Drosophila melanogaster: one gene and its partner. The protein of the gene in region 1 interacts with the protein of each later gene in a pairwise test. Each region holds a gene or a part of one and is shown in the gene's direction. Other genes may lie near its edges.

Evidence for each region. The genes of interacting proteins can lie anywhere in the genome.
Region 2: the proteins of CG18788 (region 1) and Cdc5 interact in a two-hybrid assay, tested with the Drosophila melanogaster proteins (one large-scale study listed by BioGRID).

Annotation. Positions count from the first base shown.
Region 1 is NT_033779.5:12,032,466-12,036,669, forward strand, and holds CG18788 (uncharacterized protein), read left to right. Parts: upstream 1-1,724; 5' UTR 1,725-1,759; coding exon 1,760-1,802; intron 1,803-1,880; coding exon 1,881-2,668; intron 2,669-2,728; coding exon 2,729-3,520; 3' UTR 3,521-3,666; downstream 3,667-4,204. Other genes in the region: dmGlut (dietary and metabolic glutamate transporter), read left to right, coding at 1-112, 181-804, 866-1,066; Tom70 (translocase of outer membrane 70), read right to left, coding at 3,806-4,204.
Region 2 is NT_037436.4:357,312-363,352, reverse strand, and holds Cdc5 (cell division cycle 5), read left to right. Parts: upstream 1-1,969; 5' UTR 1,970-2,224; coding exon 2,225-2,269; intron 2,270-2,338; coding exon 2,339-2,604; intron 2,605-2,663; coding exon 2,664-4,108; intron 4,109-4,167; coding exon 4,168-4,856; 3' UTR 4,857-4,953; coding exon of another isoform or gene 4,954-5,322; 3' UTR 5,323-5,502; downstream 5,503-6,041. Other genes in the region: CG1233 (uncharacterized protein), read right to left, coding at 1-926, 1,012-1,600, 1,654-1,695; Roc1b (regulator of cullins 1b), read right to left, coding at 4,954-5,322; CG1231 (uncharacterized protein), read right to left, coding at 5,894-6,041.

The DNA of each region.
Region 1 (4,204 bases):
AGTGGGTACTATCATGGGCAACCTGTTGTCTGGCGTGTTTATAGACGCCTATGGTTGGGAGTTTGTCTTCTACTTCTTCGGGGGTCTGGGTGTTGTCTGGTTTGCCATCTTTGTAAGTATAGGCTGAGCACTTAGCACATAGTCAAGACTCGTTATAATCCAAACTATTCTTGCTCGTAGATGTTCCTCTGCTACAGCGATCCCACGTCGCATCCCTTCATCAAGCCCAGCGAGCGCGAGTATCTGGTCAAGGAGATTGGAACCATTAGCCGCAACGAGGACCTGCCCCCCACTCCCTGGAAGGCCATCCTCACCAACCTGCCCATGTTTGCCCTGGTGGCCGCCCAGATTGGTCACGATTGGGGCTTCTACATCATGGTGACGGATCTGCCGAAGTACATGGCCGACGTTCTTCAGTTCTCGATCAAGGCCAACGGTCTTTACTCCTCGCTGCCCTACGTCATGATGTGGATCGTTTCCGTGGGCAGTGGCTTTGTGGCCGATTGGATGATCCGCCGTGGCGTGTTGAGCACCACAAACACCCGAAAGGTGATGACTGGTCTGGCTGCCTTCGGTCCGGCCATCTTCATGGTGGGCGCCTCCTACGCCGGCTGCGATCGTGTCCTCGTCGTGGTGCTCTTCACCATCTGCATGGGTCTGATGGGCGCCTACTATGCGGGCATGAAGCTGAGTCCCCTGGACATGAGTCCGAACTATGCCGGAACGCTCATGGCCATCACAAACGGAATTGGAGCAATCACCGGAGTGATCACGCCGTACCTGGTGGGCGTGATGACACCAAATGTGAGTATCATAAAGGTGATGTTTTGAAACTTTAGCTAATCTGGTTGTTCTCCTTTTACAGGCCTCGCTGCTGGAGTGGCGTCTTGTGTTCTGGGTGGCCTTTGGCGTGCTCTGCTTCACTGCCGTGATCTACTGCATTTGGGCATCCGGAGAGGTGCAGCCGTTCAATAACGCACCCATCCAGCCGCGCTCCGTCGACTTTGAGGCACAGGAGCGCAAGGTGGGTGGTGAAAAGACAAGTGGTCTGGAGCAGAGCTCGTAAGGTGGATCGCCAAAAAAAAGTGCCATACATATATGTATACATTGTAATCTAGTTAAAGTGCTGTCTACGCGGATTCTGGAATCCGTAATCTGGGATCCGAGTGGTTCCCAAAAGCAGTGTCATGCTGTATACGCAGTGGCTGTTGTTCAAATTGCTAGTTTTATAGTATTCCCGATCTGGCCGATCCCTGGCATCAGCGCCAACTAATTAATTTAAGCGAATTTACTTACACTCCCGAACGTCCGCAGTGCTACCATGTTTATCCCTTTTGTTAGCTAGGATAATCCTTAGCCTAATCCTAATCCTAAACTATACCCCTATGCCGCGCACGCAACGTACTCTCTTAATTATTATTTAGTATTTAAACAAACTGCGATTTCGCATTAAGGATTTCGTGTACCAGAGCTCGTATTGCCGTATTGTAAATCAAATGATGAAATAATTTGTACATTTTAAATTGTTGATCAATGTGTAAAGTAAAGCGTGTTTTTAGCTGTTCTGTTAAGACATTACTGTTTTTATGATGTTAGTCAAATAAAGTGTATAAAGCTAATTAAAACTATAAATCTAAAATCCAGTTTGTAAAAATGTATTCATGATATACTCATATAATAGGTATTAAATAGTCTAAAGGGGCATCTTCTAGTAGGCGTTCTGCGATTTGTCCAACTTCTATAAAACAAAGTTACCAAAATGCTGCCCGCTGTTGAGCAAAAGTTGAGCGATATATTTATATGTATGTATATGTATGCATAATTCAGCGATTTTACGTGGCATCCACTACAACCAGATGGTTACCCGTTCCATTCCACAGATCTGGAGGTGCGACAGCGCTGGGTTCTCTGCTGCTTCACATTTTTGGCGATCATTAATGCCTACACAATGCGTTTGTGCTTGGACTGTACGCTTAACCGAATCATATTGGAATGTGGTGGTCATAGGGTGGACAACGTTCCTCAAGTACTAAATCCAAAGGCACTGCCCAACTGGCGTATTGAACTGGCCATGGCACTGAATCACACGGAATATCAACTGAGAAGCCGCCTAAAAGCGGGAAAGGAGCAACCAGATCTCAACCAGATAAGCGCCAAAGGAACGCGGGATAGAGAACCTGCCGGTGAGAAACGTCCTGGTCAAGAGGACTCTCAAGAACGTTTGAGCTGCTCCGAGCAGTGGCCTCGCCAAACCCAATCCCTTGTAGTAATGGCCTTCTATGCCGGCTATGTGCTCAGTCATGTTCCGGGCGGACGGCTGGCGGAGAGGTATGGTGGAAAGTGGGTGCTCAGTGCGGCCATACTCACGTCAGCGGTGCTGACCCTGCTAACTCCCACTGCAGTGCGACAGGGCGGTCTGTATGCCCTTGTCGCTGTCCGTCTATTGGTCGGAATTTGTGAGGGCCCTTGCTTTCCGGCCGTGTGTGCACTCCTGGCCCAGTGGGTTCCGGAACAAGAGCGCGGAATGCTGGCCAGCTGCGTACTCAGTGGCGGTGAGATCGGCATCACGATGGTCCAGTTGGTCAGCGGGTTGCTTATTGCGGAGCAGGATTGGCCCGTGTTCTTCTATCTGGTTGGTGGAGGAGCCGTGGCCTGGTTCTTGGGATTTGTAAGTCTATACGAAGTCTAAAGTCATGATAATCATAGTTTAAACCAATTTGTTCCCAAGACCTTAGTTTGCTATAGCACTCCGGATCATTGTCCGTTTATTCAGAGCGAAGAAAGGGAATACATAAGGTGCAATACTAGCAACTCCTTTTTGTTGACCACTGGCAGAGAAAGAGAGGAGATGGACGGGGAAGATGGATATGAAGGTGAGGATAGGGAGCACCGCAGAGAAGTGGAAGCAACGTGCAACACTGCACCTTGGCGGAGCATGCTTAACAGCACGCCACTCTGGGCCCTGGTTTCCACCTCCATGCAGCAGGAATTCCAACAGAAATTGCCCCAGGAGCTGCAAATTGCGCTAGAGGAAGTAAGAGCCCGTGGCACCAGTTTCTCAGAACTAACCACCATCATCGAAACGATAGCACCGTCCGTTGGAAACTGGATAGCTTCACTGACAACAGGGCGGCTGAGCGACGTGCTAATCGAGCAGCAGATTCTCACGCGCACTCAGACACGCCGCCTCATGTCCTGGTTGGTCTTCCTATGCGGATCCATGTACATGCTACAGATCAAGATGAGCGGAGCACGAATCTGGAGCGTTCTTGGCATGGGAGCCTACTATGCGAGCATTAAGCTGCTACCGCTGGATATGAGTCCCAACTATGCTGGCACTTTGATGGGCATTTCGGGCGGCATGGGCGCGCTTCCAGCACTTCTGATGCCCTATCTGGAACAACTGGAGACCGACTACAAGCTGGTGAGCAGTGTGAGGGCCGCCATGTGGGTAATCGGCGCCAGCTACATATCCGGCGATGTCCAGGCGTTTAACCAACCGGAACGGGAGCCACAATGAGGAGACTTGCTTGTTTTAAGTTTAATCTTACGCTTAAACATAAGCTACTGGATTTGTCTTAGTGGATTCCTTAGGCAACAGATTCTAGTTTACATATGTACCATAATACATGACAATTTCTATGCTAAAGCTAGGAGCATAAACGTAAACAAGCTTTATATATATATATATAAATAACAGGTATGGTCGATATTAACTTAATTAGAGTAGGACTGCTGGCTAAATGCTCCGCGCTGGCTCTTATTTTCTCGGGATATCAATCCCAACACACACCGGTTTCATACTCTATGCAACGCCCTGGGCCATCAATCCGGATTGGGCCATTGCCGACACTGAGTTCATGTCGATACCCAGCTTTTTGGTGACGTTGATTTGGGCCACTGCCGCGTTGCGCAGCGAGTAAACGTGCACCAACTCCGCCTGACTCTTGGCATAAAGCAGTGCCTTTTCAAAAAGCTCGACGGCCCGTGTGAGTTGCGCCCGCTGAACTTCGACTGTTCCGAGTGTCTCGTAGGCCAGCTCGCATTTGGGATCTACTTCGATCGCCTTGTTGAGCAGCTGGACAGCCAAATTAATGTCTCCGCGCCACTGAAGCACCATGATGGCCTGGTGAACGATAAGTGCAGGATTTGTTGGCGCCAATACCATGGCCTTTTTGTAGTATTCCTCCGCCTGGGTAAACTG
Region 2 (6,041 bases), on another chromosome or scaffold:
GTAGTGCTCCAGCTGGACAGGTTGTGGTTCCATCATTGTCAGTGGATCATTCAGAGGAGGTGGCGGAGTTGCCTCTTCCGAAACAAAATCCACACCAAAATCAAGGTCCAAAGCACTAAAACGTGTGTTTTCCACATGGGCGGCAGGTGCTCCATTGCCATTCAGCACAGAATCAAAGGGAAATGCCTCGGAACACATCTGTGCGAGCGGGGCGAGGCTGGGCTCGAATCCTGGAAGCTGACACGTGGGCGTTAGTAGTGTCTCCGACTGGAAGACATCACCATCTGCTCCTCCTACAACCAGGCCACTTTGTCCTGGCTCTGCTGCCGACGGCATGGTGCTATTGAATCCCAGACCGGGCAGAGCAGATGGCAAAACCATCGGTTCCTTGAGGATGTCTACATTGCGGATATAAATCTTCGGCTGGCGCGGCTTCTCCGGCTCCCCGACAACATCAGGAACTTCAGGGAGACTATTGTCCGTATTGACCGAATGGTTCTGCAGCTGGAAGTCGAACGGCAGCAAAGCGGTCTCCCTGAGCACGTCCACGCTCTTGATGGAGATCTTCTGGATGGGCTTTGGCGGCGGAGCTGGTAAATTCGCAGCAGGTGCTGTTGGCATTGTCTGTTCGGTCGGCGATGCACCTACAGCCACACCTTCCAGCAGATCAAGAATGTTAGCGGCGGACCCGCTATCCGGCATTAAGGGCGGGAAATCCGGGAGTGGCTCCCTTAGGCAATCTACGCTTTTTATAAAGATGCGGCTCTTGGGTCGATTTTGGCTCTGCGACATCTGAGTCTGCTTTTTAGTTTGTGCTTCAGTGACTTTTCTGCCCATAAGCGCAAGTGTCTCACTGTCCTCCATTTGATGGTCCAAGCTGAGGTGCAAGCTGAGCGCATCGCTGGTGTAGAAAATGTTTGAGCAGCCTGTCGAAAAACACGTGAAAAGTGAATGCAAATATGATGAAGCATTCCAGCAGAGCACTCATATTGAAGGCGCACTATGCCTCACCTGGACACTGTTTCCTGTGCTGCTCCATATAGCAGTTGCCCTGACTAAGGTGTTGCTGAAGACGCATCTGGCAGAGGCTTAAGAATGGACAATTAGGACAGCGCAGGATAAGAGGCGGACCCTCCTGAATGATTGCCTTGCCCTCCACGCTGGCGCAGCTGGAATTTCGAGTTGGTGGCGTTGGCGTGGCATTCAGGCGATCCTTGGCTGCCGCTTCCGCAAGTTCCGACTTGATTAGTTCCTCCGACTTAATTTCCGCTGTACGCCTGCGGAAGGCATTGCGGTAGCTTTTCTCTGGTTGCTGCAAGTCGGTGGTGTGGATCTGGACAAAGGGAATGCCCTGATTGGGCTGGGACTCCACCGCCACCTCAGTAGGTGATCGATTCCCGCCATCGGCCAGCCACAAAGTAGTTCCAGAAGGGGTGGTGTTTGCAGCAGACGCGGAGGCAGATCCGGATCCCGATCCGATGACCAGCTCTTCGTCAAAGAATCCCCCGAAGTTGGAGTCCTGCTCCAAGGAGTGAACCGGCGTGGAAAGCGACAGGTCTTGGTGCGGATGTGTAGGATGCGGATGCGACAACGGGAGCAGCTGGAAGACACACGGCGTGTTTTTCTGGCCAGAGGTACTCGCTGGTTGCTCACCTGGTTGCCGCCGTAATATCCCGGATAGGTCGCATCGCTCATCGTGGGTGCCTTCCTTGGTCCAGTTGATTCCCGGTGCCGGATTCCGGTTGCCGGTTGCCGGTTTTCCGCTTCCTGGGCACACGCCTCTTAATTCCGCATCACAAAAATTGGCATTACGCAGAAAAAAAACTTTTCATCACAAAATAACTGATAGCGAACAGCTGTTGCTGTACACAGTGTGGCAGCGGTGTTTGCACAACTATATTCGGTCACACTGTCGCGTTATGTTATGTCGTGTGTATAGGCCCTTTATTAAATTGAATAATTTAAGTTACCAATATTAAGACCGAAGTTAAATCAAACGGTATACGAAGACTAAATACAATATAATGAAATTTTTTTGTACTAAGCTAGAATAGTTTAACTAGAGGTTCTATAAATATACCAAAACGTGCTGGAGATATCGCTGTTATCGAAGACTAACCATCGCTAGCGGCTACTGCAAAAAAAAGAGCGGAGTTTCGTGGACTCGAGTGAAAATTGTGAAAATCCATTGTATACGCGACAGAAAGCAACATAAGGCCCCAGAATGCCGCGAATAATGATCAAGGGCGGCGTGTGGCGCAACACGGAGGTAATTATCCCAATAGTCTATCGGTTAACCACACATGGCTTACATTGGCTACCGATTTCATTTTCCCAGGATGAAATCCTCAAAGCTGCGGTTATGAAATATGGCAAGAACCAGTGGAGTCGAATTGCCTCCCTCCTGCACAGAAAGTCCGCCAAGCAGTGCAAGGCCAGGTGGTACGAGTGGCTGGATCCCAGCATCAAGAAGACCGAGTGGTCCCGTGAGGAGGACGAGAAACTGCTCCACTTGGCCAAGCTGATGCCGACGCAGTGGCGCACCATAGCCCCGATCATCGGACGGACGGCAGCCCAGTGCCTGGAGCGCTATGAGTACTTGCTGTGAGTCCAACGCACAACATACTAAGTAGAAAATTTCTGATCCCTTTCCTGCCGTACAGAGACCAAGCCCAACGCAAAGAGGATGGCGAGGACACGATGGATGATCCTCGCAAGTTGAAGCCCGGAGAGATTGACCCCAATCCAGAGACCAAGCCGGCGCGGCCCGATCCCAAGGACATGGACGAGGACGAGCTGGAAATGCTGTCCGAGGCACGCGCCCGCTTGGCCAACACGCAAGGCAAGAAAGCCAAGCGCAAGGCTCGCGAAAAGCAACTGGAGGAAGCCCGCCGCCTGGCCACTCTCCAAAAGCGGCGCGAACTTCGTGCCGCCGGAATTGGCAGCGGAAATCGCAAGCGGATCAAGGGAATAGACTACAACGCCGAGATTCCCTTCGAAAAGCGACCTGCCCACGGATTCTACGACACTTCCGAGGAACACTTGCAGAAAAATGAACCCGACTTCAACAAGATGCGGCAGCAGGACCTAGATGGAGAACTCCGCTCAGAGAAGGAGGAACGCGAACGCAAGCGGGACAAGCAGAAGCTGAAGCAGCGCAAAGAGAATGAAGTGCCCACCGCAATGCTGCAAAACATGGAGCCCGAGCGGAAGCGCTCCAAACTAGTCCTGCCTACGCCGCAGATTTCCGACATGGAACTACAGCAGGTAGTCAAGCTGGGACGCGCCAGTGAGATGGCAAAGGAAATTGCCGGTGAGAGCGGCATAGAGACGACGGATGCTTTGCTAGCCGACTACTCCATTACACCCCAGGTAGCAGCCACTCCACGTACTCCGGCTCCGTACACCGATCGCATCATGCAGGAGGCCCAAAACATGATGGCCCTCACCCACACAGAGACGCCACTCAAAGGTGGCCTGAACACACCGCTGCACGAGTCAGACTTCTCCGGCGTGCTGCCCAAGGCGGCCTCCATCGCCACGCCTAACACAGTGATTGCCACGCCGTTTAGAACCCAACGCGAGGGCGGAGCAGCCACTCCCGGCGGATTCCAAACGCCCTCCTCCGGAGCCCTAGTTCCCGTAAAGGGGGCAGGAGGGGCTACGGGTGTCGTCAATACACCTGCCTACGTGAGGGACAAGCTAAGCATCAATCCTGAGGAGAGTATGGGCGTCACCGAGACCCCAGCACATTACAAAAACTACCAAAAGCAACTAAAGTCTACACTGCGTGACGGTCTCTCCACGCTGCCCGCTCCACGGAATGACTATGAGATCGTGGTGCCTGAGCAGGAGGAAAGCGAACGCATTGAGACCAACTCAGAACCCGCCGTCGAGGATCAGGCGGATGTCGACGCCAGGTTATTGGCTGAACAAGAGGCGCGCCGAAAGCGAGAGCTAGAGAAGCGCTCCCAGGTTATTCAGCGTAGTCTCCCGCGACCAACTGAAGTGAACACCAAGATTCTGCGACCGCAGTCCGAGAAACAGAACCTTACGGAACAGCAGCAGGCCGAAGAGCTGATTAAACACGAAATGATCACCATGCAGCGTGAGTAAACCCAACGTTTCCATTTTAACCCAAGTAACTAACGTCCTTTTTCTTGGCAGTGTACGACTCGGTCAAGGATCCCGTGCCTGGTCAATCGCAGCACAAGTTGGAACAGCTACAAAGCTACTTTAAGGCCAATCCCTACGAGGACATCTCGCAGCAAGAGTTGGCGAAGGCCAAGCAAATGCTCACCGAGGAAATGGAGGTGGTGAAGGAGCGCATGGCGCATGGCGAACTGCCCCTAGACGTTTATGCCCAGGTGTGGCAGGAGTGCCTCGGCCAGGTTCTTTACCTACCCTCCCAACATCGCTACACACGCGCCAATTTGGCCAGCAAGAAGGATCGATTAGAGTCTGCCGAGAAACGGCTGGAGACAAATCGCCGCCACATGGCCAAGGAAGCCAAGCGCTGCGGCAAGATCGAGAAGAAGCTGAAGATTCTCACCGGCGGCTACCAGGCGCGCGCCCAGGTGCTGATTAAGCAGCTTCAGGACACGTACGGCCAGATTGAGCAGAACTCTGTCTCACTCTCGACATTCCGCTTTTTGGGCGAACAGGAGGCCATCGCTGTGCCGCGACGCCTGGAATCGCTGCAAGAGGACGTGCGTCGCCAGATGGACCGCGAGAAGGAGCTGCAGCAAAAGTACGCTAGCTTAGTGGAGGAGCGCGATTCGCTTTACTCTCAAATCGAACATATAACTGGCGTCAGGCCCACGGCCCAGCAACTCCTGCCCGACCAGGAAGCGTAAACCTTCTTTTGGAACCCAAGTCCGTTCTTATTTAATTACAGTAATTACATGCCAGCAAACAGCTATCACCACCTAATATCCCGATCCATATTCCTCGCTAGCGGCCGTACTTCTGGTAGACCCACTCCTTGTTGTCCAGCGGACAGACCAGGCGCGTTTTCAACCAGCGCGCGATGCAGTGGTAATGGAATGCGTGGTTGCACTCGCCCCAAGCCACAGTGCACTCGTCTTGGTTTGCATTCGGGTCCGCCTGGCACTCGATGCACAGGTTCATGATGTGGTTACGGCAGATGGCACAGTTGTCCACTGCTACGTCCCATCCCCACATGGCGTGCGCAACCCATTTCTTCACCACAAAGCGCTCCGTCCTGGCCTGGACAGCTCCTCCACTACAGGATGGCTCTTCGTCATTGAAGTCCATGTCGTGGAAGTCCTCCGTCTCCTCAACCTCTATCTCCTCGGCCATGGTGTGAAATTACGAATTTTTTTTCTTTTTCAAAATACAACACTTATTTTCGTATTCGAATTTGATTTGAACTATTTTAAATTCCATTTGTTTTTGGCCTGACAGTTAATAAAAAAAAGTTGACCACTACCGATTTATCTACGAAATAACAACGGCGAATAATTTTAAAAATAAATGCAGAAAAGAAATTAAACCTTGTGATCATATTAAGTGGGGCTCAAGAAAGCTTATCATCGGTAAACCACTTTTGAATCCCTAAATTTAGACAATTTTTTTAAACAAGAAAGAATGTTATAGTCGAATTTCTCGACTATCAGATACCAGATAGTGGGAGTGAGTTTGAGAGAGAAATTTCAAAATTATCTTGGCATATCGATAGAAATTTGTATTCCTTTTAACGAGTTTAATATACCCCTCTATGAGTAATGGGTATGATAACAAATTACGGTTTTTATAATGCCTTTCTTAAACAAAATAGCTGTTTCCCAAACTCGAATGTCATTATTATTAAGGAAGCTTTACTGCTAACGGGAAGTCATGGCTTAGGCTTAGGGTATATCAAATAAATTCTTTACACGTTCTTCTCAGTTTGGGAAAGGTTTTTTACCCTCTTCAGGTGCTTCTTGCCAATAAAGTGCTGTTGCAAGGTGCTCTCATGGTTCATCATCATGTTGCAGGGCTGGCAGTAGTACTGACCCATTGGAGTGCGATACAAGGCC